2 linked regions of the Oryctolagus cuniculus genome follow. The protein of the gene in region 2 purifies or fractionates together with the protein of the main gene of each other region. This does not show direct contact. Links are inferred from orthologs where the notes say so. Each region holds a gene or a part of one and is shown on either strand. Other genes may lie near its edges.

Evidence for each region.
Region 1: the proteins of TGFBR1 (region 2) and SMURF2 purify together in Homo sapiens (affinity purification with western blotting; 8 studies listed by BioGRID). This does not show direct contact. The link is inferred for Oryctolagus cuniculus from reciprocal best matches to the Homo sapiens genes TGFBR1 and SMURF2.

Annotation. Positions count from the first base shown.
Region 1 is NC_091448.1:14,048,282-14,052,554, reverse strand, and holds the start of SMURF2 (E3 ubiquitin-protein ligase SMURF2), read right to left. Parts: upstream 2,806-4,273; 5' UTR 2,669-2,805; coding exon 2,527-2,668; intron 1-2,526. UniProt on the Homo sapiens protein: E3 ubiquitin-protein ligase which accepts ubiquitin from an E2 ubiquitin-conjugating enzyme in the form of a thioester and then directly transfers the ubiquitin to targeted substrates.
Region 2 is NC_091432.1:202,741,041-202,745,054, reverse strand, and holds the start of TGFBR1 (TGF-beta receptor type-1), read right to left. Parts: upstream 2,806-4,014; 5' UTR 2,713-2,805; coding exon 2,625-2,712; intron 1-2,624. UniProt on the Homo sapiens protein: Transmembrane serine/threonine kinase forming with the TGF-beta type II serine/threonine kinase receptor, TGFBR2, the non-promiscuous receptor for the TGF-beta cytokines TGFB1, TGFB2 and TGFB3.

The sequences.
Region 1 (4,273 bases), on a different chromosome or scaffold from region 2:
GTAACTACAGTTCACAAAGCACCTTGGAATCAAAGACACTATAAATTTACAATACTAGTCTTCTATTAAGTTAAATAAAGCAAAGAACAATAACTTTAAATAAAACATCTTATAGCCCAAGTGTACTATAAAAAAGTAAAAAATTCACTGTGGGGATTTTTTTTTTTAGAAGAGATTTTTCCTCTATTAGGGAACCTGGATCTAAATGAACTGCTAAACACTTAGTCTAAAGGTATGCCAAACATTTCTTAAGGTCCTAACAAAGAATCAACTTTTTTTTTTTTTTTTTAAACAAAACGAGGCCTAGGTTAAATATTTTATTTGGCTTCTCAAGATGGACTGAGAAGTTGGGCACCAGCTCCAGACCAATTCCTGGACGCACATCAAACACAGCCCTGTCATTTATCCAGTCAGTCAAAACAATCTTTTCCATCTAACCCTTTAATGTTTATGTCCTAAAAAGCTGCTAATTGAATCCAGCTCTTGAAATCTATTTGTTAAAATCTATACTGTCTAATTTGTAAATGATGAACTAAAATGAAAAATATATATATATGTTAACTTTCCTGGCAAAACAGAAGAGATTCCACCAAATGTAACCACAGGGGAGGGCAATATTTTTAATATCTGTCAAATTTTAAGAGAAAACTATTCAGAAATTCCCAATGGTTTTCAGAAATTGAGAGTACCTCAAACTGTTTTTACAATTAAGGGGACAAAGGGTATTTAAAATCCCTCAGAACAATCTAAATATACAAAATCATTCTATAAATGTAGTCCAACATTCCCTCTGCCCTGAAAACAAATTAAGTGTAATCTTTCCTAACAAATCTAATTTTACTCAATTTTTAGAATGTATCATGCAATAAGGAAACCACAGATAAACACTTTATGACCTACTGAATCATATTAAAAATCTCAAAACTCACGTAATCCGCAGAAAATCAAAATCCCGATTTCCCTCCCCCCCTCCATTTTCTATGTACGTGTATACAGCCCAGAGGGAAGTCAATGGCAACAGCCCATTTCTGATGCTTTGTGCACATCTGGAAGCACAGGTTCCTTCGATGCTCACTGACTCCAGATAGGAACAGCAACAGATACCTCTGAAGCAACAATGATTCCTTAAAGGATTTCCCACAATAAAGAAACTCAATGGAGGAAAGGAAGACAAGCATCCTTCAAACCAGATTTTTCCATTAAGAACCACTCAGTTAATGGCTCTTCGCAATTTTCCCCAAGGAAGGCAAAACTTTCATGGAGGTAATATAGTTTTAAAATTGCAGGCAACTCAGGCTAACTTCTCCAATACCAAATTCACTGCAGGTTATTATCTAGAAGGTTCAGCCAGTGGACTGGAAGGTGACACACAGCATTCAGCTACAAAATTAGTCCGTATAAATCTCAAAGTCTAGTGTGGGCAAACATAATTACAGTTTATTCTGAAGCGCGCGGGCGCACGCGCAGGTGCCCGTGCACGCACACACACACATACATACACACACCAATCTAAGGAAAACCAAATTTCTCACCACACATCCAAATATAAACGTGTTCAATTCATTAACGGTGAAACTAGAATGATGACACACTGATTTCAACTACACGTTCCCAAGCAAATATAATTTTTTTTCCTTAAAATGGGGGAGATATGTTGATATAAGAAAACCAGAAATAGCTCTATACACAAAACGCACCTGTAATAAAGATTTCACGCACCTGGAATCAAACACTTTTTAAGACTAGTCTTCTATCTAGCAAACCCCTATGGACATTCTTTTCCATTTAGAAAAGGGAAAGGGGAGGGTGGGGAAAGTGAGAGAAAGTTCCCTTGAAAGTTGTATGAGTACACTTAGCCAAGTACCCTCGCCCCTTTAAAAAAAAAAAAGTGTTTAAGGCAGGTCTAGAGTTAGCAGGGAGCCACAAGTCCTGCGGCCTACAAGGAACAACTCAAAACATGCTACCCTACAATCAAACACTTCCAAAACACAGAGCGTACAATGAGCCAGAGTCGTGGGATCAGCCAGACACACCGGAAAAGCCAACCTCAGTCTCCTTCCCTCCCCGAGCCGCGCGGTCAAGGTGTGTGGCACGGCCGCCGGGGCTGGCAGCCGAGCGCGGAGGCTTCGCACGCGGGCACACAAGTTAAGAAGCCAGGAACGAACGCGCGCGCACACGCGCACACACACACACACACACACACACACTCACACTCACACCCTCCCGTTAAGCGCTCCATCTTTAAGGAGTGTTTACTGCGCGCAGCAGCAACCGGATTCAATAATCCCCTCCACGACCCCACCTGGGCAGCCTCCCGGGGCCGCTCCCCGAAGCCCCCGGATTAGAATCGGACCCCCCGGCCGACACTCCCCGACCTCCCAACTCCGCCTGCGGTTCGAGCCGGCGTACCCCTCCCTTCCACAAAAGACCCCCCGACTCACCCTCGGGCTTCCCAACCCGAGCGAGTGCTTTTTCCAACTACCTTCTCTGAACTAGGCCCTCCCACGCCCCCGGCCCCCGACTCACCATTGATCGCGACCCTGGCCCTTCCCAAGGCCACAGGCACCCCCCCGCCGGCTCGCCCACCTCGCGGCCGCCCCGGCCGCCCCCCCTCACCTGTCAGGCGCAGCTTGACGGGCCCGTTCCGCCGGCCTCCGGGGTTAGACATGTCCCCGGCGGCGGGGACGGCCGGGGCGGCGGCGGCGGCGGCGGGGCTCCGGGCCGGCAGGCGGGGCGGGGGCGACGGCGAGGCGCGGCGACCGAGTCACCACAGCGGCCGGGGCTGGGGCCCGGGCAGCCGGCGCCGCGGCCGTGGCGGCCGGAGGGTCCCGGATGTGCCGAGCGTCGTCGCCATGAGCCGCGGAGGGAGCGGGACGCCGAGCTCCCCCCTCCTCCCACTTCTCCTTCCTCGGCCCGGGCCGCACAACAAAGCGGCAGCCGCGGCCGGCCGCGCCGCCTCCGCCCGCGCCCCCGCCGCCGCCTGGCAGTAGCCGCGGCCTTCCCCTCCGCCCCGCTCGGCGAGGCCCGGGAGCCGACGGGACCGGCCGGCCGGCTGAGGCGGGCGGTGCTCGGCGCGCCGCAGCAGGACTCAGGGCTCGGCCGCTTCCTCCTCCACCCGCCCTCTTGTCTGAGGGAGCCGGGTCCCGAGGCCGCCGCCACTCGTCGGCTTCGGGGGGCGGGGAGGAGATGGGGCGGGGGCGGGGCCGGCGGCGGGGGCGGGGCCGGGGCGGGGCGGGCCGGCGCGCGCCTGTGCCCGGGGCTCGGGGCGGGCGGCCTGGGCTCCGCCTGGGCGCGGGCAGGGGGAGGCGGGCGCGCCCCGCAGGCCAGGGTCCGACGGGGGTGCTGCAGGGAGCGGGCAAGGGGCCAGAGTGGCGCTGTGGCACCTAGAGGGGCTTCGTGTGCAGCCCACTTCAGGTAGAGCGTGTACCGGTGCAGGACCAGCTGCACTTATTAGACGCCTACTGTGTGCAGGGCGCTCGGAGAGAGTGCGGGTGCTGGGTGAGGAGTGAGTCCCCCGAAGTCAGCGTCTCCCAGGCGAGGAAGGATAACTTTTCCCACTTGCAGCGTCTCTGCAAACCCCCAGGAACTGCAGTTGCCACCACGGCCCAGCACTCACCTGATGGGCGAGATCAGGTTACCTGCTCGCTGTTTCTCCAGCTGCGGAGCGAGGACTGGGAGATAACACCAACGCCTTGAAGACTGTCACCCAGATCAACCTTGGACAGCTGTATATGCAAAGCCTTTTCAGTACCTTGTTTCGTTATCTCAGGAGGAAAAAAAAAAGTGCACCTTACACTTTGATCCTGCACTTGCACTACTAGGAATTTATTTTTAACAAATACAGAACAATACAGAAGACGTTCTTCACGACGTTTGGATAACAGCAAGAGGGGAGTGAGCCAAGGGCCTAACAGTGGCTTATATTACATCAGCCGAGTTTTTCTGGGTGCAGCCATTGAAATGGCAATTATGAAGATCCTTTCCTGTGCAAAAGTGGCACAGTGAAACGCACAAGGACAACAGCGCGGGGGATTTCTCTGTGTGCGCTTTGCTAGTTTACTTAAGGCTGTTCCATTAGTGGAATGTTCATTGTCTAATAAAATTAATAATTTTAACCCTAAATCAGTGTCAGTCATTGCTTTCAGTTCATCAGTGAGGTCAGTTGATTCTCCGGGGAAGTGACCTCCACAAACATTTGATCAGTCTGAATGCAGCCCTATAATTAAAGTGACCCAACAGACTAGAAATACAAGGGACAGCGCTAGAAATTCAT
Region 2 (4,014 bases):
TAAAAGAAATAGAAAGCAGAAGCCCTGTCCTCAGGGTGCCTGTACTGTCCCTGAGCACTACACGTAAGTACAGTTAAGTAACTGTAAGTGCTACACAGTCCAGGGACAGAGTTCAAGGAAAATTAAACTAGTACATTAAGTCAGGACCAGAAATTTGTGTCTCCACACCCGTCAAAAAGGGGCAAAATTAATTATGTATTGAAAAGGTTGAACCATCAGGAGTGTCAGTGGGAAAAAGGAAGTCATGGGAACCGAAGGTCTGCAGTAGTGAGAAGTGGGGTGGCTACTCAGAGATGGCCCAACTCAGAAGCCTCGAGCATCGTTCTTAGTGCACACACATGGGGCTCCGGTAAGCCCTGGTGAAGTGGCAGGGGAAGACTGGTTGAGCAGCAGCTCACAGGAAAGCCATGACAGAGGAACACTAGAAAGCAACCAGATTTGGAGATCACCGGCAGGACTAGGCTGACGGCTATCCACCAAGGAAGGAGGGGGTACTCGAGGCATCAGCACAAAGAGTCGGACTGTTTGCAAAGAAAAAAAGTCATGAAATTGCAGAAAGGAAGCAAAACAGCATTCTCGCGTGGGGTATAATGCAGGCACGGTGGAACTAAGCTGCACTAGGGACAAGGAATCAGCTCTAGAGAAATCCATGTTGGAGAGAGCAGAAGCTGGGCACAGAAATGCAAAACAGATCCCCAGACAATAAGGAAAAACCACCAGTCTTAAAAAGGGAAGCCAAAAAAAAAAAAAAAAAGAACTCTTGGGTTGCCTCAGAAAGCATGAAGGCACAGACGGAACCCGAACACACCTAAGCAGGGCGCCGGGAAAGTGGGGTGGTCTGGGCTGTGAGTAACCAGCATCCAGGCCAGCTCTGTATTGTATGTGTGCCCACACAGACAGTCAACTCCAGGGCACCACCCAGCAGCGTTCTGTCCCTCCAATTAAGTCGAGTATGTGCTACCCTAGGTGGAAAACAGTGACTGAACTACGTCACTCAAGTTAATAATGGTGTGGAAAGTTGCCTGCTTGATGCAGAACTGTATCAGTGTATCCCACCTGTCCACAGTTATCTTGCCTCCCTCCTGAGGCCAGGTCAAAACCCTCTGTTTCCTCTAATACAGGCCCATGGCAAGGGACTCAGGAATGTGTCAGGATGTAGAAAGAAGTCAACCTAACACTCAAATTGTGAGGCCAACATCTTAAGGGATGAATACCAACTGCTTGTTAGATGATGGAAAAAGAAAAAATGGGCTGTGCCAGATAGTTGGTGTATGGGTTTTGGAAACTGAGAGAGCTGACAGCAAATCCTAACCTCAGCACTTAGTAACTGGTCCTCACCTCTCTGCAGCTCAGCTTTCCCAACTACCAACGGGGCAAAGGCCAGCAGCCCTTAAGGGTTAGTGGCAGAGACTGGACAATACGCTTTGGCGTGCTTTTTGCATTTGCATCACAGTGGGCTCTTAATAGACAGTAGCTATTAGGATAGCTGGGCACCGGTCTTGAATTTGCTTTTGTTTAACACTTGTTCCATTTCGCTGCATTTTCACCCAAGTTCTCTATTTAGCTTCTATATTTTAGTTCAGTCTCTAACAGAGTTAGGCACTCCACCCTTCGCCAGGGTAGGCACCCACCACCTACTCCAACCTGGTTTAGCGACCAAAAAAGCTGGGCAAACAGTCTCACTTGAAAAGCGGCTACACAGACGTCTGATTCAAGCTGCTAACTGCCACTCAAGAAAAGGAACATCAGGAGCGACGCTCCTTCAAAGAAATAAAAGCGTTTCCATTCAAACACTCCCAACCCCGCGGAGTGAGCAAACGTGCAAGTTTCTACTACGAAAACAATCCGTAGCCTTCTGGCGGCTGGACTCGCTTCAACACTCCCAGACGCACGGAGAGGGAAACAATCCGCGCATCTCGTGCCGCCGCCGCCTCCTCAACACAAAGCTTCGCAGCTCCCCTTGCCAAGCCACCCCGGCCCGAGAGGCAGCCGCTCCCCGCAGGTCGGCTCGGGGTCGCGGCCGGCGCCAAAGCCCGCGCAGCCCTGCCGCCCCGGGGGTCTCCACCACGCGGCGGCCCCTCGCATCGCTCCGGAACGCCCTCGAGGCTCAGGGCTCACAGCCCGCCCGGGAAGCCTCCCCGGACCCCAACTCCGCCCCGGGACTCGGAAGAAGCCCCAGGCCCAGTCCTGCCTGGGGGCAGGGGTGCCCGGAATAAGGCCACGCAGTGACCTGGAGGACGCGCCGGGGCAGCCTGGCTCGGCCGGTCCGGTCCAGCCTCACCCTCCGCCCCTCGCCCACTCACGCCCCAGAGGGCAGCCCCCGACCTCGGACGGCTCCGCCTGACGCCGCCTCTCCTCCGGGGGCCCCCGGAACCCGGGCGGCCTTGGGTTGTCGGCCACGTCCACGCGCACTCGGACACACACCCCCGCCGCTCCTCCGCTGCCCGCCTCAGCTTCGCCTGGCGGCCACCAGCCCCTGAAAGCCCAGCCCGGGCCCCGGCGCCGCCACCTGCGCCCCCGGCCCCGCGCCATGTTTGAGAAAGAGCAGGAGCGAGCCAGAGGCCGGGCCCGGCCCGCGCGCCCCCGCGGCCGCCCGCCTGCCCGCCCGCCGCGCCGGGGCTCACCCGTTGCCCCCGGGAGCAGCGTCGCTGCCGCCGCCAACACGAACAGGAGCAGCCGCCGGGGACGCGGAGCAGCGGCCGCCGCCTCCATAGTCCCGCTGCCGCCGCCTGTGGCCCGGCCCGGCCCGGCCGCCGCCTCGCCTCAGCAAGCCTCGCCTCGCCCCACCTCCCCCGCCGCCGCGGCGGCCTCGCTCCGGCCCTTTGTAACTGCTCCGGGGACGCGCGCCCATTGGCTGCCGGGCCCCCGCCGGCCCCGCCTCCCCGCCGGCTGCGAGCGGCCCAGCGGGACCAGGCCGGGAGCCCCGCCTGCGGGCCCGCCAGGCGACCAATCCGGGGCAGCGGGCTCCGGCCTCCGGCCACGCCCCACACACTCCCCGGGGGCGGTGCCGCCAGACCCCTTCCCCAGCCGGAGCGAGCTCCGGGTTCCCGAGGCCGGGTGGGGGTTGGCTCTCCCGAGCCCCAGTGGGCGATGGGTGTGTCTGCTTCTGGCTAGCTTTCGAAAAAAGGCTGCGGCCGCTCGCCGCTCTTTTCTTCTGGCCTCCTCTTAGACACCAAAGAGCTGGTCCTGACCCAGCCCCACCCTGGCCCCCCCATCCACAGCCCTGCACCTGCAGTCGGTAACACAAGCCGCCCACATCCGCACTGTCGCGGAGCGCTTGCATCCACTTCAGCGTCCCCTCCCCAGACCCACGCCTCAAGTTTCAACATCACCTTTCTCAGTGCCCATCACATGCGACTCATCCTGCTCTTGGCGTACACCCCATACCTAGCCCCCTCCTCAAATTCCAGGCCCAGAAAGTTCTCAGATCTCAATCTTAGATCCCAGAGCCCGAATCCAGACACACACCTCAAATAGCCTCCCTCCAGATCACGCCCAGAACAGGGACCCAAGCCACTCTCCTACCCTCTTTTCGACTTCCTGATTCAGGTTGGAAAGGGAGAGCCTGCATCCCACCCTCCAAGGAAGGGAATCTCCGCTCTCAGCCCCAGCTCCTCCCGGGCGGAGGGGAGCAATCATCGTTACCTTGAGCTGTCTCTGATTCGCCTGTGTAATAATTCTGAGGTGTCACTGAAAACCCAAATAAACTCCACTACGTTTTCATTCTGAATTCCTAATTTACTGTGAGACGCTCCACCCACCTTCCCTCTGGGATGCCAAAACTAACTCCAGATTTGTAATTCTTCCTGTCAGACTAGTGCCTTCTTCAGACACAAACACAGCCAAGGAGGCTGTGTTACGCAGCACGGAGAACGATTCTCCGAAGGACCTTTTAAGGAGAAAATGTGAATTTTCTGAGCGATTGGAATTTGGAATTAAATAAAGCTTGGTAATCAGAATCAGAACCAGCCGTCTAGTTGGGATTTGCAAATTCCTTGAGAGCTAGTAGGTGAG